3 linked regions of the Pelodiscus sinensis genome follow. The protein of the gene in region 1 purifies or fractionates together with the protein of each later gene. This does not show direct contact. Links are inferred from orthologs where the notes say so. Each region holds a gene or a part of one and is shown in the gene's direction. Other genes may lie near its edges.

Region 1 (7,938 bases):
CCACTCTCACCCATTCCACTGTGCTCCAAACAGCCAGGGAAATGACCTAGGATTTAATAGCTTCCCATGTGGACAAACTCCAAGCTGATCAATGCCAGACATGCTGGCTCCTTCCCTGCCGGGCAGTCCTGCGGCTACTTCCCGCACACTGGGCTGGAGCAGCTGGGGCTGGACATAGGAGGCTGGCGGGGAAGCAGGGGGGACCTGTGGGGACCAGCCCCTGGGGCCTGGAGCTCAGGGGAGGGAGGCTAATTCTCTGAGTAGCACTGGCAGAGCCGGGGGTGGGGAGCCCAGGGCAGGGCTGTGTTAGGGGCTCTGGAAAGTACCCTTGTAAATGTGCCCTGGATATTGGCTGGGAGTGAGGCCATGAAGCCAGAGCCCAGCGAAATGGCTCCGGGTCCCACTGGGCTTTTGGGATCAGTGTGTGTGTAGGGGGGTGGGGGTCTGGCTCTGGCTCCAAGGGCTGTTGGCCCTGAAGGGGCTGGCATGTGTTGTCTCCGGGGGGAGGAGGGAACAAGCAGCCGCAGCCTCCCAGACTCCACTACCTGCAATTAACGGCCTTGTCTTCATTAGACACAGTTACATGGTAATTATCATGAAGCCACCTCCTGCTGAGCATCCCTTGTGCCCCCCAAACCTGCCCGCTCTCTGTCATGGCCTGGGGCACTGCTGGGAGGAACAAAGGGGGTTGTGGGTCAGGACTGAGGGGCACTGGAAGAGCTGGGGGGAGGGAAGCAGGGGGCTGTGGGTCAGGACTGAGGGGCACTGGAAGAGCTGGGGGGAGGGGAGCAGGGGGTTGTGGGTCAGGACTGAGGGGCACTGGAAGAGCTGGGGGGAGGGGAGCAGGGGGCTGTGGGTCAGGACTGAGGGGCACTGGAAGAGCTGGGGGGAGGGGAGCAGGGGGCTGTGGGTCAGGACTGAGGGGCACTGGAAGAGCTGGGGGGAGGGGAGCAGGGGGTTGTGGGTCAGGACTGAGGGGCACTGGAAGAGCTGGGGGGAGGGAAGCAGGGGGCTGTGGGTCAGGACTGAGGGGCACTGGAAGAGCTGGGGGGAGGGAAGCAGGCGGCTGTGGGTCGGGACCGACCAGCACTGGCAGAGCTGGTGGGAGGGGAGCAGCGGGCTGCAGCAGGCCGTTGGTGGGGGGCTACTCCCCAACACCAGTTGCCTGTTCACATCCCTGCTGGTGGCAGAGTTCACGTTGGGCCTGGACTGTGACGAATTCAAAGGGGCTTCTCCCTAGAGGCTGCAGGTCACAGCCTGACCCTTGGGGGTCAATGGGCTCCCCGTCTGTGCTGCCCCATGTCCCTGCTAGCAGTGCCCTATGTATCAGCCTAGTCATAGATGGACCTTCTGTCCCAGGGTCCCAATCAGCCCGGCCATGCCCTGACACGTCAGCAATCGCTGCCCCCATCAGATCCCAGGCCAGGGACCCGCCTCAGAACCCCCTGATAACCTGGCAGGAACTAGAGAAACCCACAGACCGAGCCAGAGAGCAGAGGGATGGGCAGCGTCAAGTGTGGGAGACCGGTACTTGGGGGAATGCTGAAAGCGAGGGGGGAAGAGTGGGCGGGGGGGGGGGGGGCTTGTCATGTGTGGAGGTGGATGGAGGAAGGAGGGAGGGATGGCTGAGTGGGGAGGCAAAAGAGGGAGGGATGGGTCTGGGGGTGATGAGTGTGGGTTGAGTGGGGGATTTGGGCGCAGAGGTGGATGGAGGGAGGATGGGGAGTGGGGGTGATGGAGTGGGAGGGCAGGTGTGGGGGGACACAGGGATGCAGAGTGTGCCACATGTGGAGGTGGATGGAGGAGGGAGGATGAGACAGTGAGGGGTGCTAGAGCGGGTGGGCAGGGGTAGGGCTGTGGGGGGACACAGGGGTACAGTGTGCCACATGTGGAGGTGGATGGAGGAGGGAGGATGAGGCAGTGGGGGGGTGCTAGAGCGGGTGGGCAGGGGTAGAGCTGTGGGGGGACACAGGGGTACAGTGTGCCACATGTGGAGGTGGATGGAGGAGGGAGGATGAGGCAGTGGGGGGGTGCTAGAGCGGGTGGGCAGGGGTAGAGCTGTGGGGGGACACAGGGGTACAGTGTGCCACATGTGGAGGTGGATGGAGGAGGGAGGATGAGGCAGTGGGGGGGTGCTAGAGCGGGTGGGCAGGGGTAGGGCTGTGGGGGGACACAGGGGTACAGTGTGCCACATGTGGAGGTGGATGGAGGAGGGGAGACGGGGGTGTGAAATGTCAGTGATTCCCCTCTCCCAGCTCTGGGGATGAATGTCCCACCCCCCTCGCCCCTGGCAATGGCTCTCCGCTTCCACTTTGCCTCCCCTACCTCCACTCACTGCCCCACACCTGGACCCTGCTGGCGCCTGCCCCACTGGGCTCTCAGCTGGATGGTGAGGCGAAGGCGCCACCTGCCAGCCATGGGGGGAATGGCACCGGCGGCCATGTCACTGGTGGGGGGATGTCGGGAAGGGGCGGGGTGAGTGCAGTGAGAGTGAATGGTGGGAGCCCTGGGCTCCCCCCAGCTCTGCCGGTGCCCCTCACTCTTGATCACAGCCCTGTTGGCCCATTCAGGGCTCCTCCCACCCAGCTCTGCTCCTCCAAAAACAAAAAGTGCCATCACAGTGTATCTGAGCTCTCCCTTCTGCATCCAACCTGCCATGCCAGGCATCTGGGGCATGGGGGTGGGGAGCGCGCCAGGCCCAGGGCTGGGAGCTCCTGCTTTCAGCAGAACGAGACGAACTGGCAGGGCTGACAAGCTGTCAGGTGCACGGAGGATCCCTGGCTGCAACTCCGGCTCCCCCAGCCGGCCGGGGCCAAAGGGGAGCTGGGGAGGGAGCCTGGTGATGGATCCAATCGATCGCGGCTGCTCCGGGGCTGCTCACTCCGACAGCTCGGTGCGGGGAGACACGCTGAGCCCACCCCCTTGTCTCGCATGGCTGCCGGGCGCCTGCCTGTCAGTGGTATGATGAGCCCCTCCCCTTGTTCCATCTGGTTTGGATAGTGGCCTCCTCAGGGAAGGGCGCGGGAGTTTGGCCTGGTCTAGGTTGGAGAGCCTGCACACTGCTACCAGACAATCTGCCCCCATCTATACCCCTCTCTCCATCTCCCACCCCATCTCTCCTTCTCCCCCACTTCATTCCTGCATCCACACCCCTCTCCCATCCCCTCACCCACTCCATGCTTCCCTCTTCAGTCACACAGCAACTCTGTGCAGGATAGCTCACCCAGTGCTGAAATGCAGCTATGTCTGGGGAGAGGCACAGCAGACGTGTAGCAGCCTGCACAGCGGTAGCGACATATGGGACTGGGCTTAGCAGCAACACAGCAGACCAGGCGAGCAGGGAATCCAGCCCAATCTGCAGGAGGGGCAATTGAGGGAGGCAGACTGAAGTGGGGGGTAAATGCTGTGAGTCAGGAGGGGGCACTCTGCTCTCTACTCTCCCCAATCCCTGCACCACAACTCTGTCTAGCACCACACTGGGGCCAGCACCGACCCGTCAGGAACAGTACCTCTTGCTGCGCCCCTACTCTGCCCCCTGCCCTACAGCACCCCCTGCTGAGCCCCCGCCCTGCTCCCTGCCCCACAGCGCCCCCTGCTGAGCCCCCGCCCTTCTCCCTGCCCCACAGCACCCCCTGCTGAGCCCCGCCCTGCTCCCTGCCCTACAACACCCCCTGCTGAGCTCCCACCCTGCTCCCTGCCCCACAGCGCCCCCTGTTGAGCCCCTGCCCTGCCCACAGCGCCCCCTGCTGAGCCCCTGCCCTGCTCCCTGCCCACAGCGCCCCCTGTTGAGCCCCAGCCCTGCTCCCTGCCCTACAGTGCTCCCTGCTGAGCCCCTGCCCTGCTCCCTGCCCCACAGCACCCCCTGCTGAGCCCCCGCCCTTCTCCCTGCCCCACAGCGCCCCCTGCTGAGCCCCGCCCTGCTCCCTTCTCCACAGCGCCCCCTGCTGAACCCCCGCCCTTCTCCCTGCCCTATAGCACCCCCTGCTGAGCCCCGCCCTGCTCCCTGCCCCACAGCGCCCCCTGCTGAACCCCCGCCCTGCTCCCTGCCCCACAGCGCCCCCTGCTGAGCTCCCGTCCTGCTCCCTGCCCCACAGCGCCCCCTGCTGAACCCCCGCCCTGCTCCCTGCCCCACAGCGCCCCCTGCTGAACCCCCGCCCTGCTCCCTGCCCCACAGCACCCCCTGCTGAACCCCCGCCCTGCTCCCTGCCCCACAGCGCCCCCTGTTGAGCCCCTCTCGTGGATCCCACCCACCGGCGCAGGAAAGTAACGCCCGCTCCTGCATGGCCCTGTAGAGTCCAGGCCCCGCCCCCTACAGTCCTACCAATCCAGGCTCCTCCTCTGATTACCCAGCGTCTCCCCCCTCCTCCCGGCTAGTGAGTGGCCGTCTTTGTCCCAAAAACTGTCGCCCACGCTGATTGGTGGGGAGGAAAGTGGGTCGGGTGCGGATTGGCTGCATCCGGCTCCCGCCAGGGCAGGAGCGGGGAAAGCCGATTGGCGTATGTGGGGAAGGGCGTGGCGACTGGCAGGAAGTGGGCGGGCCGGGTGGGGGATTGGTTCCCGGCGCGAAGTGCGAGGATTGGCGGGGGCGTAGCAAGGCGCAGGCGAGGATTGGCGCAGGCCGGCGGGCGGCGCGCGCTGATTGGCCGGCGGCGCGCGCGGCAGGGACAAGGGCCGGCGCGGGCGGCGCGGGGCGGCGGCTTTTGTGGCGCGCGGCGGGTTCGGGTCCCGCTCCCGCCGGCGGCATGTCCCGCGTGTCCGTGCTGGGCGTGTCGGTGCTGGAGAACCCGAGCCCGTTCGGCCGCCCGCTCCGCTTCCAGGTGCAGTTCGAGTGCGGGGAGGCGCTGCCGCACGGTGAGTTCGGGCCCCCTCCCCCCGCGCGCTGGGGAGGGGGTCTCCCCTCTGGCGGGGGGGGGCTTCATGGGCGGGGCTATTCCCCCCCCGGGGGTCGGACTCCAGGGCGCCTGGCAGCGGGGTCCAGGCCGTGCCCGCTGGTCCCTACGCCTGGCCAGGAGCCGGGACGCCTGGGGTCTCTGCCACTGACGTGCTGTGGCCCTGGTCACGTCCCTTCCGGGCTCTAACATGGAGGGAGCTGATTGCCTCACCGTCCCGGGGCTGCGAAGTGCAGGGAGCCTGGACCCTGCCACACACACGCCGGGTGTTTTAAAAAGGCTGCTGGGTTGGCCCCTCTGCCAGGGAGGGTGGCCAGATGCTCTGTCTTGGGCAGGCTCCTCTTCCCCACCCTCCATCTCTTGGCCTGATTGTTCACTCTGGTCGCCTTGTTGTCAGGCCCTCAGAGGCTGAGAGCGCCGTGTGAATTTAAACGCATCGTAATGTCCCCATTGTAAATGCCTGCACAGGCGAAGAGTCTGGAGCTAGATGTGGCCATTTGGGAGAACTGGGCATGAGGAGAAAGCCAGGTGCCTTTTAAGGATGCCCCCATGTTCTACATCTGATCTGGAGATCTTCTCAGCATGCTGCAGAGAGCTCTTTGGTGTTGAAATAACCTAGCTGAGCTAGCCTGATTAACCCTGCTCGTATAACCGTGCCCCTTACCAGTAGGGACAGGACTCGTACCTGGCTGCCGGGGGAATTCTGCTTGCAAACTTCTGCTTGCTTGTTGCCAGTTATGGAATGATTAGAAGAGGTGCTGCTGATGGGGGAGAATCAGGTGTGCCCAGCATTTCTGAAAGCAGGCTATTCATAGCTTAGTTTGGTGGCCAGAGTATCCTTCTGGTCTGGATACTTCAAGGGGCAAAATATCTGCCTTTTGTTGATTAATGGAGTCCAGACTAATTTGGGCCAATGTTCCTGGGTTGAATATTTGCCACTGATAAACATGTGAACGGGACACTACTTAACATGGTGGCTCTGAAAGGTGGCTGTTGGTTTGTAGTTCTTTGTGTGCCCTCCCCCAGTAACATTTCCCATCCAAAAGACTCTTTTGAGGCATCTCTTGGGAGGCTGGTTTCTCTTCTCGAAGAAAGGAGCCCAGGGTTCGAAGAGAATCTTTCTGGGGGGTGTTGGGATAATGTGAATGTGAGATGTCAAATCCCAGAGCGACATTGTCATGCAAGCGTACCTTGCAAAGCCCTCTATGGCCTAAACTGTGAGCCTCTTCACTTCAGGGGGTATCAGAGCTGTGGAGTGGTGGCAGCCAAATCTCTCCACTGTCTTTGAGGCTAAAAAATTGGCATGTCTCACTGGCTTTACAGTTTGAAAATTAGCTGTCTGCAGAGTCTGAGCACAGCCCTGCTGAGCCAAGGGGACAGGAGCTTTGACAGCTGTTGGACTCCCTGTCCTCTTTAAAGCTTCAGGGGGTAGCAGACCATTTGTTGTTTTTTAAGTTCATCCTCTTTGAGGCCATCATCCAGGTTGTGGGAGAGGAGGGGAGGGGGGGGATGCGTGCGCACACAGCACCACCACCTACATAGCCTGCCTTACTCAGCAGGGTTTTTTGGGGGGGTACAGGGGTGCCCCACAGGATTTTTTCCCAAATAGGACGCACCATGCTGTGCTGGGAAACCTGTCTGCAGAATCTCACCAGTGCAGGGAGGGGCGAGTGTTGGTCCTCCATCTGACTGAAATTCCTTGCTCTTAAGGGCTTATGTGGGATTGTCCCCCACTATTCCCTATTCTAGGAGCTCTAGCCCCATTCCCGGGGTTTGAGAGTATATGCAGCTGTTTGCTCCTTGAGGAAGGCTTCCCTGCATGAGGAACCTACTCTAGTCTGTTATGTAATGTAATCTATGGCTGGCACATCCCCCTTTCTTGTAAATTTATAGAGCATCTGTGTGAAAAGCTGTTTCTGATTTGTTATGAGAATGTCCCCTTAATCCAAACCCCCTCTGCTGCGTGACATCACTTTGCCTGGTAAAAGCTACCCTGACCCAGTCTAGGGATATAAGTGACTAGTCGAGTAGTTCAGGGGATCTCAAACTTGTGATACCGTGACATCCCCCCCGAGTTGCTCGTGACCCCCCGGGGGGGTCAGGTCCCACAGTTTGAAAAATGCTGGAGTAGTTGATTACCTGATAAGCCTAGGGTTATTGGGTAGTCGAGTCACTACTCTACTAGTTGCTTCCCCCCCCCAGCTGCCTCTGTATCAGAGGCAGCGGGGGGGGGGGGGGGGGCAGGAGCCAGTGCTGAGAGAGCTGGTTTCCCCTCCTCCAGCTGGCTTTTTCCGCAGGGAGGCAGATGCCAACGTTGGGGACCTAGTTCGTTCCCTAGCGGCTCTTACTACATTTAAAAAGCAGAGCCACAGTGAACCCCATTCTCGACTAATCGAGTAGTTGATTCTGTCGACTACTCGATTAGGGATGTTAAATAGTGGTTAGTAAGCTAATCCAGTCTCCTAGAAAGTACATGCATGTTACATGGAACACTTCCCTCTGGTGTGGAAGTGGAAATGCCACTCTCCCCTCCCCCCAATACACACACACACACACACACACACACACACACACACACACACACACACACACACACACACACACACACACACACACACACCCCTAATCCTTCGAGCTTTGTCTGTGCTTGGGGGCATAGGCCTGGCATTGGCTCAGACTTAGACATGTCTGAGTGTGTCTTTTGCCAAAGCTCAGCACCCACCCAAACCTAAGAGGCTCAGAGTTGAAACTCCTCCCTTTGAACGGACAGTTTGGCAGCCCTGGTACCTGTATTGGAAGGAGCACTGACTATTAACCTGACTTAAAACCAGAGTAGGACTTGCTTGGAATGGAATTACGAGGTAACATGACAAAGGTCCCATTGTGTCAGGCACTGTACAAACAGCAAAAAGAAGGCCGCCTCAAAGAGAATCTGAGGAAAGTACTAGGCAGGGGACAGCAGATGGAACCAGGCAGACAGATGGGGGATTTCAACAAAACCATTCTGGCCTTAAACTGGTGCAGACAATGCTTAAGAGCCCTTGGGTCA
Region 2 (7,147 bases), on another chromosome or scaffold:
TAGGAAGGACCAATCAGTTTTACACACACAAAATGGGAAATGACTACCTGGGAAGGAGTACTGCGAAAAGCGATCTAGGAATCTCAGTGGACCACAAACTAAATATAAGTGAACAGAGGAATATTTTTGCAAAAAACGGTATCATTCTGGGATGTACTAGCAGGAGTGTTGTAAACAAGACATGAGATGTAATTCTCCCACTCTACTCTGCACTGATTAGGCCTCAATTGGAGTATTGTATCCAGTTCTGGACACCACATTTCGGGAAAAATTGAGAGAAACTGTAAAAGGTATACAGAAGAGCAGCAAAAATGAAGAAATGTCTAGAAAACATGACCTATGGGGCAGAACTGGCCCTAGGGAAAATTTCTTCCTGGGTGAACCCGTGTTTGGCACCACCCTTTTCTCCTGATACCTATGGGCTCCCCATGTCCTGCAGTCCCATATTGTGCCTCCTTTGCCACAAACCCCTGCATTGTGCCCACTTTGACCCTAACCTCTGCACAGTGCTGCCTTCAACCCTAACTCCTGCACTTCCCTCCCCACTGTGCTCCCAACCCCATCCCTGCACTGCCAAGAAGCCCTGCCACACTGCTCTCTACACCGTATCCCACCTCCTTATGCCAAGCAACTCCCTGGCCAGTGGCTTCCACCTAGAGATGGTTTGTGTCCTGCAGCATTTACAATCTATGAATTCATGTGACAAATAAAAGGTCTCAAGAAACAGAAACAAATATATGCAATTTGTGAATACATTTGGAATATTGTTATTATTATTTTTATAATTAGACAAACTACCCACTATCTGTAACTGTCTGATTTCTCATAGGCATTGAGTCGGAGATGTGTTTCGAGAAGACATGAGGAGGAAAATGTAAGTGGCATTGTGGGATGTGGATAAGTGGTGATGGTGATGTCTGTATATGGTGGAGTCTGTGCAGATGTGTTAGGAGCAGATGGCTAGGTAGGATTGAGCTGCATGTAGGGAAAGAGTCACACAGCAGGATCAGTACAGCAGATACAGCTGGATTAGATAGAGAGGTGATAGGGTTCATGCAGCAGACACAGCTGTATTATGTGACAGAGTGGGGCAAGGATGGTGGGGTATGTTTGGCAGGAAGGTCAATGCAGAAAACAGGGTTATGTAAATTGGCGTGGCTGAAGCAGGCAGGACTCTTTGGTGCATGGGGGAGGTCAAGGTAGCAGGCATGGCTGTGTGAGGTGCAGGTTGTGTGCATGGAGTCTGTATAGCAGGTAGGGCTGGGTAAGGTGTGGGTGGCTGTATGTGTGTCGTAGGAGTCAGGGAAGTGTGACATTGTGCATAAGTGTGGGAGTAGCGCAGCAGGTGAGGCAGGGGGAGGGGTTGTATTATTTTTGTGGGACAGGTCAGGACAGGAGGCTGTGTGGTGTGAGGTATTTGCAGCTGTAGTGTATGTATCAGGTCAGTCAGCAGGCAGGGCTGTGTGAGGGGCTGTAGCGTGTGTGTGGGGGGGATCAGTGCAGCACGCAAGGTTGTGTGAAGGATTGTAGCGTGTGTAGAGTGAGTGCAGCAATTGGGGCCTGTAGCGTGTGTGTGTGTGTGGGGGGGTCAGTACAGCAGGTAGGATGGTGAGAGGGTGTGTCAAGACAGCATGTAGTATGTTGTGAGGTGGGGAACTGAATCGTGTGGCATTAGTTCAGTAGGCAGAGTGATGTGAGGTAGGGGCATCCGAGCAGCAAACAGGGTGGTGTGAAGAACTGTAGTGCATGTGTGGGGTCAGGGTAGTGTGAAGGTCAATGCAGCAGGCAGAACAGTGTGAGGTGGAGGAGTCAGGGCAGCAAGCAAACTAGTGAGAGGGACTGTAGTGTGTTGTGGGAGTGGGGTGAATGCAGCAGACAAAGTCATATGAGGGGCGTCTAGTGTATTGATTGTGTGGGGTCAGGGCAGGAGACAGGGTTGTGTGGTGGTGGCAGATCAGTGCAGTGTGAAGTGGGCAGCTCACAGCAGCAGGGAGGATGTAGTGGGGGGGGCATTAAGTCAGTAGGAAGTTGGTATGAGGGGTTGTAGTGTAGTGTATTGTCTATGGGACCTGGGCAACATAAGGATCTATACTGTGTATGTGGTGGTGGGCGGGGAGGGGTCATCAGGGCAGCTGCCAGGATGCTGTTACGGGGTTAGTGTATGGTGTTGCAGGTCAGTGTGTGGAGTGGGTCAGGGTAGGTGACAGGGCAGTGTCAGTTAAAGTTGTTAGAGTAACAAAGAGGGTGGTGTGAGACAGGAAGTCAGTGCAGTGGCAGGACAGTGTGAGGAGAGGTGTTCAGGGCAGCCGCCCGGGAGAGGAAGGGCAGTGAGAGGGGTCAGACTACTAGGCAGGGGAATGTGGGGGTATCGGCAGGCGTGCAGTGAGAGGGGGTCAAAGTACCAGGCAGGGCAATGTGGAGGTGTTGGGGATTGGGCAGGCAGGCAGTAAGAGGGGGTCAGAGTACCAGGCAGGGCAATGTGGGGGTGTCAGGCAGGCAATAAAGGGGTCAGAGTACCAGGCAGGGCGGTGCAGAGGTGTCGGGGGGCGGGCAGGCAGTGAGAGGGAGGTCAGGGTACCAGGCAGGGCACTGTGGGAGTGTTGGGTGGGCAGTGGGGGGGGGTGAGGGTACCAGGCAGGGCGCTGTGGGGGTGTTGGGCGGGCAGTGAGCGGGGGGCAGGGTACCAGGCAGGGCGCTGCGAGGTGTCAGGAGGGCAGCGAGAGGGCGGCCAGGGTACCAGGCAGAGCGTTGTGGGGTGTCGGGCGGGCAGTGAGAGGGGGGTAAGGGTACCAGGCAGGGCGCTGTGAGGGTGTTGGGCGACCAGTGAGGGGGGTCAGGGTACCAGGCACGGTGCTGGGGGGTGTCGGGCGGGCAGTTGGGGGGGGGTCAGGGTACCAGGCAGGGTGCTGGGGGGGTGTCGGGCGGGCTGTTGGGGGGGCCAGGGTACCGGGCTGGGGACGGGGGTGTCGGGCGGGCTGTTGGGGGGGTCAGGGTACCGGGCAGGGCGCTGGGGGCGGGGGTGTCGGGCGGGCTGTTGGGGGGGGTCAGGGTACCGGGCAGGGCGCTGGGGGCGGGGGTGTCGGACGGGCTGTTGGGGGGGTCAGGGTACCGGGCAGGGCGCTGGGGGCGGGGGTGTCGGGCAGGCTGCTGGGGGGGGTCAGGGTACCGGGCAGGGCGCTGGGGGTGTCAGGAGGGCTGTTGGGGGGGTCAGGGTACCGGGCAGGGCGCTGGGGGTGTCGGGCGGGCTTTTGGGGGGGTCAGGGTACCGGGCAGGGCGCTGGGGGCGGGGGTGTCGGGCGGGCTGTTGGGGGGGGTCAGGGTACCGGGCAGGGCGCTGGGGGCGGGGGTGTCGGGCGGGCTGTTGGGGGGGGTCAGGGTACCGGGCAGGGCGCTGGGGGCGGGGGTGTCGGGCGGGCTGTTGGGGGGGTCAGGGTACCGGGCGGGGGTGTCGGGCGGGCTGTTGGGTGGGGCAGGGTACCGGGCAGGGCGCTGGGGGCGGGGGTGTCGGGCGGGCTGTTGGGGGGGTCAGGGTACCGGGCGGGGGTGTCGGGCGGGCTGTTGGGTGGGGCAGGGTACCGGGCAGGGCGCTGGGGGCGGGGGTGTCGGGCGGGCTGTTGGGTGGGGCAGGGTACCGGGCAGGGCGCTGGGGGCGGGGGTGTCGGGAGGGCTGTTGGGGGGGGTCAGGGTACCGGGCAGGGCGCTGGGGGCGGGGGTGTCGGGCGGGCTGTTGGGGGGGGCAGGGTACCGGGCAGGGCGCTGGGGGTGTCGGGCGGGCTGTTGGGGGGGGGCAGGGTACCGGGCAGGGCGCTGGGGGTGTCGGGCGGGCTGTTGGGGGGGGCAGGGTACCGGGCAGGGCGCTGGGGGCGGGGGTGTCGGGCGGGCTGTTGGGGGGGGGCAGGGTACCGGACGGGGTGTCGGGCGGGCAGCGGGGGGCCCGGGGCGGCGGCGCAGCGGGCAGGGTGGCGTGCGGGGTGAGCGCGGAGCTGGCCAGGCCGGCGGGGCAGGTGTACGTGCGGTCCCCCGGCCCGGCGCGCTGGAGGTGCGCGGCGCTCGCTGGCGGTGGTGTTTGCGCATGACCCCTCCCCGCTCCCTCCCCCCCTCCCGGCGGCGGAGGTTAGCCTGAGCCTCAGACACAGGCGGCTGCTCGGCGGCGGCCGCGGCGACGCAGTGCAGAGGTGCGGGCAGGTTGCGCCGGCCCTGAGCCCTGTCTCCTTCGCGCCCCGCCTGCCTCCGGAGCCCTCTCCCCGCAGCGGCCTCCTCTCCCCGGTGTCGGGCCGGCCCCCCGGCCATGAGCGCGGCGCTGGGTGTCCCCCCGCCGCGCCGCCTCCCCCGCCGCCCCCGGCGGCTGCCGGGCTCCAGGAAAGTAGCTTGATGAGTGTCCAAAGTAGCAGTGGAAGTTTGGAGGGGCCGCCATCTTGGTCCCGGCTCTCCACGTCCCCACCGAGCCTGCAGGGCTGCTCCGCGGCGGCGGCCTCCCTGCTGCACAGCGCGCCGCCCGGCAAGCCGCCCAAGGAAGGTAAATAGCGCGCTCCGTGCCCACGGCGCTGCGAGGGGGGCCCGGTCTTCGGGGAGGGGCCCAGCCGCCGCCGCTGCCGGAGGCCAGTCCCAGGCTCGTAGGGCCGGGTGCGCGGTGAATGGGGGTGAGGGCAGGCGGGAGACTTGTGCTCAATGCAGGGGTATTTCCCTTCAGCACAGCGGGGACCCCCAGATCCTGCCGTGGGGGACCCTCCCTTCCCCTGAGGGGCAATCGGGAGACACCCCATCTGGAAATCCAGCAATTTCACCCCGTCTCTGTTTGTTAGTAGTAAAAGCGGCTTCCTAGTCTCTCCACCCCCTTCCTTTTCCAGGGCTACGGAGGAGAATTGATTAATGTTTGTTCATTTCCCTGACAATCTTTATAGCAAGAATCCTCAGCCTCTTCTAATTTTTTATCCCTTCTCTGTGATTTTTATGGCGGAGGCTTGCATCTTCTGTTCTTTTTCTTTCCAAATTTTATTTTCCACCACGCATTTCAAAAGTAAAAGTGATTTGTTGGGTGTATTGGGTGAATGTGGCGGTTGTTGCTTAATGGAAAGGGTCGGGTCCTTTTGGCATCATGGAGGTGGAGTAGAAAAAGAGACCGAGATCAAGGAATGTGTTCCCATCGGGGAGGAAACACTTCTCTGAGCAGCTAATTTGGAGGACAGAAGTGACACGACACCTTAAAACCACCAGAGAATGATTGCAACTTTCTCCTTTCCTCCATCACATCTTAGATGATAATATTTTTCTCCTCCCTCCCCTGCTCCTCCCCTCTTGTGTTACACCGACAGTGAGAGCAGGGTGTTGTGGGTGTTTGCAGGGAATATCTGTATGAAGGTTATGTGCAAACAAGTCTCTTCTTATGCTGTTCCAGTTATTGTCCATTTTTCTTCCTTGCATTGAAATACATTGCCACAAGATGTAGCAATTATACAGCTAGTGGAATGCTCAGTGCTTTTTAACTAAAATGACTGCTTGCTGTATACCAGTTGTTGCTCGAGAACTTTTATACCCACATGCATATATTTGTAAAGGGGAAATTATGCATGTTAAGCAGTTGTATAATTTGACTTGGATATCTTATTGAGTATCGAAGACCTCAATATTGGGTGCTTCTGCTCTCTTGTGTAGAGAACACTGGTTGCCATGCTGAAAACTTTCAAACTTAAAATAAGCTAATAAGGGCTTAGAGAAAAGTAGGATAGCTTTATTTAGAGGATACTTGTGCAGTACTACAAAAGTTGAAGTGCAAGTTTTTATCAGTGAACAATTTAAAGACTTGACAATACATTCAGCCCCTTGAAATGTGTAAGTGTGTGTCCTCAATCTCCATGCTTTTAGTTGTTAGACTTGCATCATTCCTTGTGACTTTTGCACATGCTCCTGGATCTGAGACTGGCATTATTACTTTCCAGAAGATATAGGGAAAGGTTGGGTATATGGCATATGTTAAAGATGCCAAATAAAGTAGCAAGCATTTTGTACTCTTGCCCCCCTCCTGGGTGAATTCTTCAATAAGAGAAGATAGTGGCATGTGTGTGTGTTTTTATATATATAATGTGTGTGTGTGTGTGTGTGTGTGTGTGTGTGTATATATATATATATATATTTATTTATTTAAGTTTGCACTGGGTTTACCAGCATTAGAACTGTGCGTACTTTCGGATTCAGTTATTCACCTGTCATTATTGGGATACTTGGTACATACATCTTAAATTATTATTGCAGCTTTCTGTTTTTAATTGTTATGTTGCTCACTCTAACAAAAAGTGCTGCTTGAGTAGTCCTGACAGAAACAATACATTGAGGCATCATTTTATATTAATGTTTATCGTTTTAAAACTGGTTAACAATTTATTTTTTCTGTCTATAGTAATTTAGGTTGTGTAGTTCAGAGGTTGAAGACCAAACCACAAAATCTGCTGTGTGATTCAGAATGACACTGTACTTATAGTCTATATTAATACAATTTATTCATTGCTTTTGCTTCTTCATGATTGTGGGGCCACTGGACATTTTCCATTTGAAAAGCGTGTGAGATAAAAGCAGTCTTTGGTTTTTTTTTTTTTCCTCTTCCCATTGGCATTAACACTACACTTCACACTAATGCAAAGGAAACTTGCATGTTAGAAGAATCTCACACCAAGGAAATACGTCCCATAAATAAAAATTATAGTTTTTCATATCTTTTTTCAAACAATATACCTTTTTGCCACTTCTGATGCATCTGTACACTGTTTTATAGTGCTAGATATTGCTATGTATTATAGTAACGTGTATGTGAGACAGTTGACAAAATAGATGTGGGAGCTGTACAAGATGCGCCCTCAAGAATATAGAAAAAAATATTATTTTGCGTAATTTGAGATATAGTATTTGATTAAGTAACTAAAGCTTGGGCCAGAATACATAAACCAGTACAGATTTAAGGCTGCAATCACCTTAAATTTGTAAATTTCTTGTTTATCTTCAATGCTGTTGCTATGACTAGTGGTTTTTTAGAGTGTGTTTTTGGTTGGAACACTATTCTGTGCCATTTAGGTATGTAGGAGGAAGACCCTTTGTGTAGTTTACGGCCTACAAGTTATGCAGAGGCTGAGGATGATTGGGTGTATTTGAATACGTT
Region 3 (7,814 bases), on another chromosome or scaffold:
ATGCTATTCTTGGTTCTGGACATCCAGCACTCCGGTCATCTGAAGAAGTGAGCTGTGCCCACAAAAGCTCAGATACCATCTACGTTTCCTTAGAACATAATGTTCATCCATCTAGCTTTTGACATTTCTTGCATTTGCATAAGTGAAGAGCTGAGCTATAATTGTCCCATAGCATTGTTGGATATATGCCTTAGCATATGTAGGCAAGAACGTGTAATACAATTTGACATGATTGCCCAACACACACCTAATGCTATATGTATTGTATTATCACAGAACCATAGACAATTAGAGTTGGAAGAGATCTCAGGAGATCATCTGCTCAAAGCAGGACCACCCCAAGTAAATATTATTATTACATTCTTAAATAATACAGTACACATCGGAATGCATTGGCTAACTTGATAGCAACTGCCCCATTTACTATGGATGCAACCTGAAAAGAGTTAAAACATTTCTGTAAAATCTTTAATACCTCTTGTGTTAACCTTATAGGTATTTAATCTTATCAACTCTTTCAAAAACTCCCCTATATGTTTATTGCCTTCATAATAATCCTTAATGACCTATGCATTCCATTTATCTACAGCAAAACAGATAATTCTGCAGGTAGCTTTACAGGGGTTTATGATAGGTTAGTGTGTTTTTCTGTTTGATGGATTTTCCTACTCATGCTCATCACTGGGTCATGATCTTTTGATAACATTCTAAAGTACTGCAATTATTCACATCACCTGATGTTTGTGTCACTTTGCACCCTATTAACTTTGCACTCTGATCTTGTACGTCTCAGGAGAGCGCTGTCTCTTTAAGCCAGTGGTTCCCAAACTTTTCAGCATCATGCCCCCTTTTTGATTTTTGAAAAACCCTCATGCCCTCCCCCCCCCCCCGCCCTCAAAAAATAGCAAAGCTTGTTGAGCAAAAGAAAAAGGAACTGACAGCACAGCAAAAACCTGATGGGAGAAGGGGCACTGGGTCGCCTCACCACCCCGCCTAGAATTTTTTCCCAGTTTGGGAACCCATGCTTTAAGCAAAACACTTAGGAAACTGAAGGCTTTTTTTTAAAGCTAGCAGGAACAACTGATAGTTTGCTCTATTCCCTAAATTGGCAGGAGGCGGGAGACACTCTGACATCATCTCTCTCTGCCTCTTATATGTACAGGAGGCAGCTTCTGGTCCAGAACAGCTTGGCCATGGGTGGCTCAATGTGGGGGGGGGGGGGGGGAGACGGGAGCAGCAGGGAGGCAGGAGGAAGAACACCTCTGCCCTGAATGAAGGCATGCAATGTTGCTCCCATGATAGGGTTGCCAGGTGTCCGGTATTGTACTGGACAGTTTGGTATTTGCACGCTCTGTCCAGTAAAAAAATTGGAAAATACCGGACACGTGCAATATCTGGTATTTTCTGATTTTTCCGGCTGCACACCGGACGGAAGCCTGGTGTGGGCACAGGGAGCGGCTGGGAGTCCCAGCTGGCAGGCGGGGCCGCAATTCCCTCGGGGAGCCCTCAGTCGATTGAGTGTGAGGAGGAGGGGAAACCTCCTCCTCGCTCGTGTGTCACTGGGAGCCTGTGCGGGACAGGCAGCAAGTGCCCTGGTCAGTCCCGGTCCCTGCCGGCCAATTTGCTCACCCCCCCACTTCCCGGCCGGCTGGTTCTCCCCCACTTCTCCTCCTGATTTTCCCTGGCCAGCCTCCCTGCATCCCACCCCCCCCCCCAACTCTGCTTCCCGCCAGCCCGTTCCTCTTCCTGATCTCCCCTGGCCAGCGCCGCTGCACCCTTCCCATCAGCTCTGCTTCCCAACCCCCTTCCTCCCGGCCCCCCTTCCTCCCAGCCAGCGCTGCAGCACCCCCCCCCTACCAGCTCTGCTTCCCGCTCCCCCTTCCTCCCGGCCACCCTCGAGGCCCCCGATCCCCCCCAACTGTGTTTCCCATCCCCCCCTTACTCCTGGCCAGCCCCGCCCCCTCCCGGCCATTTCCCCCTCCCCTGATATCCCGCAGCCAGCCCCGTTCTGCCTAACCCCCCCCCCCCCCATGACCAGCCCTGCTTCCCGTTGGCCCCCCCATCTTCCCTGGCCAGCCCCATTGCCCCCCCCTCCTGTTAGCTGTTTCCAGGCCCCCCCCCCCCCCTTTCCGGCCAGTACCGCTCCCTTCCTGGCCAGTCCCCATCCCCCCAATGAAGCGTGTCTGGTTTTTTTTTTTTTTTTTTAAATGACTACCTGGTAACCTCTAGCAGTGATCCAGGTTCTTGGAGGTTTTTTTTTTTTTTTTGCTCAACAACTTTGGTTCCTCCTCCCCCCTGCTTTTTTTTCCTTCAACAAAAATTTTTCCTGGTGTTTTTTTCTGGGGGTTGGGGGGAGGGTGTTTGGTATTTTTGTTTCAGCCATCTGGCAACCTTATCCATGAGCATAGTGCCCTGGTATGTGATTAAGGCTTGCTTAAAAAAACAAGCATGAAAGGTAAGGGACTCTTGTCTGGGAGCATGAGAACCATTTGCGCACACTAGCACGATCAGGGACAGCGGCTAGTAAGTTTAGAGCCTGTCCCAATGTGTGGGATCAAAGGTGGTAGTGTGAGGCTGCTATTGCCACACAGGAGGAGCAAACAGTGTGACCCACTGACTCTTTTGCCATTGCAGTTCCTGGTAAAGACCTGCAGCTCCATGGATACTGGTTTTTATCTGTGGAGATCATATCCTCATTTGTGGATATACATTTTGTATCCATGTAGGACTAAAAAAGGAAAGCCACATAGTTTACCTTGGTGGAAGAGAGAGACTCTTAAGAATCAGGCTCCTCCTGGAGCCTGTTCCAGAGCCGGGGACATTGCACCCATCCTGTCAGTCTGTGATATCTACTCACTCCAGAAATGAACAAACAGCTGTGTGCAATTATGCAATTAAGTCAAAACTTCATGCAGTATGCTGCAGATACATTAGCATCAGCCCTGAGCTGCTGTTAGGCAACCATAGCATAGGCAGCTGGGCAGGACACTCCTCGTTTTAGTGCACTTCACTTACCTCTTCCTAGCCTTGTTCTGATCCTTTCTGCAGGCTCCCAACACAGTTGGCTGCAGCAGCCTGGTGAGCCTTCCTTCAGAGAGGATCTAATAACTTAAAAGTGAAAAAGCCTTCCAGCTGGCTAGACCTATTAGCACAAGATTAGAAAATGTTAGAGCCATTAAAGTGGTAATACAGCCATTTAACAGGCATTTGCCAACTTCCAGGCACATACTTTTTGTTGCTGAATTTACTGACAAAAACAGTTGTGCCTTACTGTAATTTCTCAAGACAAAGTTAGTCTACAGGACCTTAGTTTAAAATCTGTGTTAAAAAAATTAATTAGGGCATTACTGAAGATGCAAATCCTTGCACTGATTTTTTAGATGCACTATCCTGGGTATTTATCTTTGGCCATAAGTGCTTGGATATTCAGTCATATAGCTTGTAAAATAAATCCTTCAGCAGACCACGATTATCTAAAATACATATGTGAGCATGGGCCTACTGTTGGGCACAGGGGCACCACTGGAATACTACTACTGAGTGGGGCCCTGCATCAGCCCAGTGACCTTGCTACTGCTCCAAGGAAACGACTGACTTCTACAACATTTCAGAACACAACCTTGGAACCTCTAGGCCACCCTGGCCGATGGGCAGAGGCTCCCAAGGGGCAGGCCATTTACTTCTCCCCAGGAGACTAGGTGCTTCCAAGTGACTTGTCCCAGATGGGGGTGTGCCGAGTGCCAACTGCCCTTCAGGGCAAGCACAAGCTGGGCTGCCAACTCCGACTGACTGGTAGGATTGCCAGATGGTTGAAACAAAAATACTGAACACCCCCCCCCAAAAAAAAACCCAGGAAATTCTGTTTAAGGGGAAAAAAAGGGGGGAGACCAAAGTTGTTGAGCAAAAAAAAAGGGACGCCGAGGACTTAAGCCAAATTTTTTTTTTTTAAATAAAACAGCATTACAACAGGATGTCCCCTTTAAGAGTGAGTTCAGGGATAGGAACAGGGTAGCAGTTGAGCACTAAGACCCAGGCACTTTCCCTAGGTCTTTTGGCCTGCAGCTATTTTATGCCAGGTAAGCATGGGGGCTGTGGGCTTGTGGGGAAGGCCGGGTGCTCAGCATTTTCACCTCCTGGCCAGGGGAAAAAAATCAGAGAATACCAGATAGCTCAGGTGTCTGGTATTCTCTGAATTTTTTATGGACAGGAGGTGAAAATACTGGACTGTTCAGGTGAATAGTGGACACCTGGCAACCCTACGACCAGCTGCCAATGCAGCACATAGTAGCGGGTCTAGGAGAGTTAGCCACTCTAGGTGCAAGTGCCAGGGGCTGCAGGGAGAGGGGCTCAGCAGGGCACACCAACCCCTGGCTCAGTGCACACACGAGCCTTCACCCACCCACTGGAAAAGTTCTCCAGCCTCTTCCAGCCATCAACCACCCAAGGGACGGCCAGCATTGCGCATGCGCAGCCCCCTGCCGGCTGCGCTGCTCAGGCACGTTCCGCGGAGCTGCTCTTTCAAGGTCTCCTTATTTGCTGTCCGCCGACTCGCAGCCCTCTCCTTTAAATGCCACCTCCCCTTTAACATCGCCGCCTTCCACCCGTGGGCGGGGTCGGATTTGGCGCGAAAACCTTCCCGGGGAAAACCTCTGGAATGGGCGGAGCGCGGGGCGCGGCGGCCGCTGATTGGTCGGCGGTGGCGCCCGCCAGCCACGTGGGCTGTGTCCGCCGCGCGCGACTTGTGTGCCTTGTCCCGGCTTGGTGCGGGGGGAGGCTGAGCTCGCGCGCGCCATGGACTTAGCGGCTGGGGATGGGGGGGCCGCGCCCCAGCAGCTCCGCGATGAGGTGGCGGAGAAGTGCCAGAAGCTGTTCCAGGACTTCCTGGAGGAGTAAGTGCCCCGCGCCAGCCCCCCTCCCCTCGGGAGCCACGGGGATTGGGGGTGCGCGGCGGCTCCGAGGCCCACGAGCCGCCTGTGACGCGGGGGCGTGTCCCGACCGGCCCGTGCAACCGCCTCTGCCCGCGCGCGCTGCTGGGGGGGGGGGGGAGGGTCGCGCGTCTCCCTGCGCTGGGGCGGCCTCTCTCCCCTACAAGCAGGCGCGCCTCGGCGCGTTCAGTCGCCGCTCTCCTGGCAGCGGCGTGTCCCCCTTCGGTCTGACGGGGTGTGTGCGGGGGGGGGGTGCATCTTCCCTTTGGGGTTGCTTCTGCTGGAGCAGTCCCTTGGGAAAGCCGAGCGTCGTCCCGGATGGCTCTACAAAGTGCTGCCTTCAGACTAGATTCCCTTCTGTCTTGCTCGCTTGCGCTTCGGTTTGTGCATTTCGGACAGCTCTGCGCAGCGGAGGTTTTTATTTTCGTACCATCGTTGTCTTGTACGAGGGTGCACCTATTACTGCTGTTAGCAAGACTGTTCCATCATTTCGGCCCAGATTTAAACGGCATTTAAATGTGGTGCAGTTACATTATTGGCGTCTCCTTTAAGTTATGTGTGAGTCTCCCAGCTTTTCTTCCTAATTATTGTCAGTAATACTTGTTTTCTAGCAATTGCTAAAGCTTAGAACAGTGTTCATCTCTTGGCTGTTTAAGTTTCGTTTTTCCACTTCTGAAGTTTGAATTAGTCCTCCAAGGAGTTTTGTATCAATCACAGGCTGTCACACAATCTTGGCCATAAAGAAGTAAAAACACATTTTACCTGTGTGTGTCATTGTAAAACCATAAGTAAAATGCTGTCTGGGGAATCAGGTATGTGAGACATTTGTATTAATTCACTTTGAAATCCCCATGTGTGGGTCAAAGGGGGAGGAGAAAAATTATTTTTGGCAGTGAGGTTTGCAAGTCCTACAGGTATATGGCTTTTTTCCCCCTCCTACCCACTTTACACAGGGCACAGCAGAACTATTCCATTGCTGCTTGCTATACAGTACTGCAAAACTTTCCCTAAAATACTGTCACTTTTAGATTCCAGAACAGTGATGGGGAAGTCAAATACTTGCATGATGCTGAAGAGCTAATTCGTCCAGAGAGGAACACATTAATTGTGAGCTTTGTGGACTTGGAGCAGTTCAATCAGCAGCTTTCTACCACTGTCCAGGAGGAGTTTTACAGGTAAGGCTCACCTAAGAACTGAACATCAGTGGTTGTTATTCAGGATGGACAGGAATGGTGTCTCTAGCTACTGTTTGTTAGAAGCTGGGAATGGGCAAAAGAGGCTGGATCACTTGATAGTTACCTGTTCTGTTGATTCCTCTGAGGCATCTGGCATTGGCAACTGTCAGAAGATACTGGGCTAGATGGACCTTTGGTCTGATCCAGTATGGCTGTTCTTAGGTTCTTAACATCACCTGGATATTACAGTTAAAAAACAGTTCAAATGTAATGGGAAAAATATCTGCTGACTGGCCCCATTACTAGCTCTGCCCACTTCAGGTGTAGTGTTCAGAACTATATTATCATCAAACATGATACAAATAGGCAATTGCATTTGTGTTGTGGGGAAAAGTAGATGGAACATTTGGAAATGCTAAATTAATCCACCCATCATAGTACTTGCTACTTTCAAATGTATTGGGCCAGTTGCTGTTTCCTAGTCTCAACATTTGAATCAGGCTAAGCTTGACCCTGAAGACTTAGTGAAATAAACTGTACTGAAATCTCTTTTTAGAATAAAGAGAATTAAAATTATGTAATCGTGTGATATTTCATGTTTGGCACATTTTTACTTGTTTACCTGTGTCTTGGCATACTATAAACCAAAGCTTGTACATATATGAGGAAGGCCTTTGATTGTAAAGGGGAAAGGAGTTTTGTATAACTTCAGTATAATGTGAAATTATTTTCTGTATTTCAGAGTTTATCCTTATCTGTGTCGAGCAGTAAAGACTTTTGCCAGAGATCATGGAAATGTTCCTCCAAACAAAGACTTTTATGTGGCATTCCAAGATCTACCTACCAGACACAAGTAAGATGCCTTTTAAAAAAATAATTGAAATCCATCGATGTGGGCTAAGCAAGCATAGTATAAAGAAGATCTGACAACAATAATGAGTAAGCAATGAAATTTAGAATTGAGATTAATGGATTCCAAGGCTAGAAAGGACCATTGTGATCATCTAGCCCAGTGGTCTCCAACCTTGTAAAGCACAAGATCACTTTTTGAATGCAAGTCAATCCAGGATCTATCTCCAACCTAAATATCCCTGCCAGGCTGTCTTCCCCATCGCTGAGGCTCTGCCTCTGCTTACTCTGGCTGTGTCTAGACTACATGACACTTCGAAATTGCAAATGAAGTGGGGATTTAAATATCTCACACTTCATTTGCATAATTGCATCATAGTGCTCTTTCGAAAAAAATGCCATTTTGAAAATAAAACTTCTTTTTCAAAAGAGCACTATGACGCGATTATGTGAATGAAGCACAGGATAATTAAATCCCCGCTTCATTTCAGTTTCGAAGTATCTAATTTACATCCCTCTGTCGAAAGAGGGATGTAATCTAGACGCAGCCCCAGTGGAGATGGGGATACCTTGATGTCAGCAGCCTCTCCCTGTGCCTTCCCCACCCTGCAGAGCAAGCAGGAGGCTCCAAAGATGCAGCTCCAATGTAGAGGGCAAGAGAAAAATGACCTGGATAGCCTCCTGGCCAAACCTGTCAGGATCACCTGTCAGAGGCTCCAGGATCTACCAGTAGATCTTAATTTACCGGTTGGTGACCACTGACTTAGCCTGACCATCTGTAGACCACTAGCCAAAGAACTGCTTAACTAATTCCTAGAACATATCTTTTAGAAAAACATCTAGTCTTGCACAATTTTTTTTCTAA

What was found.
Region 2: the proteins of ASF1B (region 1) and TLK1 purify together in Homo sapiens (co-immunoprecipitation; 3 studies listed by BioGRID and IntAct, counting the BioPlex papers as one, with this or other methods). This does not show direct contact. The link is inferred for Pelodiscus sinensis from reciprocal best matches to the Homo sapiens genes ASF1B and TLK1.
Region 3: the proteins of ASF1B (region 1) and MCM6 purify together in Homo sapiens (affinity purification with mass spectrometry; 4 studies listed by BioGRID and IntAct, counting the BioPlex papers as one, with this or other methods). This does not show direct contact. The link is inferred for Pelodiscus sinensis from reciprocal best matches to the Homo sapiens genes ASF1B and MCM6.

What each region holds. Positions count from the first base shown.
Region 1 is NC_134729.1:10,141,915-10,149,852, reverse strand, and holds the start of ASF1B (histone chaperone ASF1B), read left to right. Parts: upstream 1-4,656; 5' UTR 4,657-4,742; coding exon 4,743-4,851; intron 4,852-7,938. UniProt on the Homo sapiens protein: Histone chaperone that facilitates histone deposition and histone exchange and removal during nucleosome assembly and disassembly. Cooperates with chromatin assembly factor 1 (CAF-1) to promote replication-dependent chromatin assembly.
Region 2 is NC_134717.1:41,040,733-41,047,879, reverse strand, and holds the start of TLK1 (serine/threonine-protein kinase tousled-like 1), read left to right. Parts: upstream 1-4,019; 5' UTR 4,020-4,371; coding exon 4,372-4,516; intron 4,517-7,147. UniProt on the Homo sapiens protein: Rapidly and transiently inhibited by phosphorylation following the generation of DNA double-stranded breaks during S-phase. This is cell cycle checkpoint and ATM-pathway dependent and appears to regulate processes involved in chromatin assembly.
Region 3 is NC_134717.1:17,813,169-17,820,982, reverse strand, and holds the start of MCM6 (DNA replication licensing factor MCM6), read left to right. Parts: upstream 1-4,686; 5' UTR 4,687-4,791; coding exon 4,792-4,889; intron 4,890-5,953; coding exon 5,954-6,100; intron 6,101-6,842; coding exon 6,843-6,953; intron 6,954-7,814. UniProt on the Homo sapiens protein: Acts as a component of the MCM2-7 complex (MCM complex) which is the replicative helicase essential for 'once per cell cycle' DNA replication initiation and elongation in eukaryotic cells.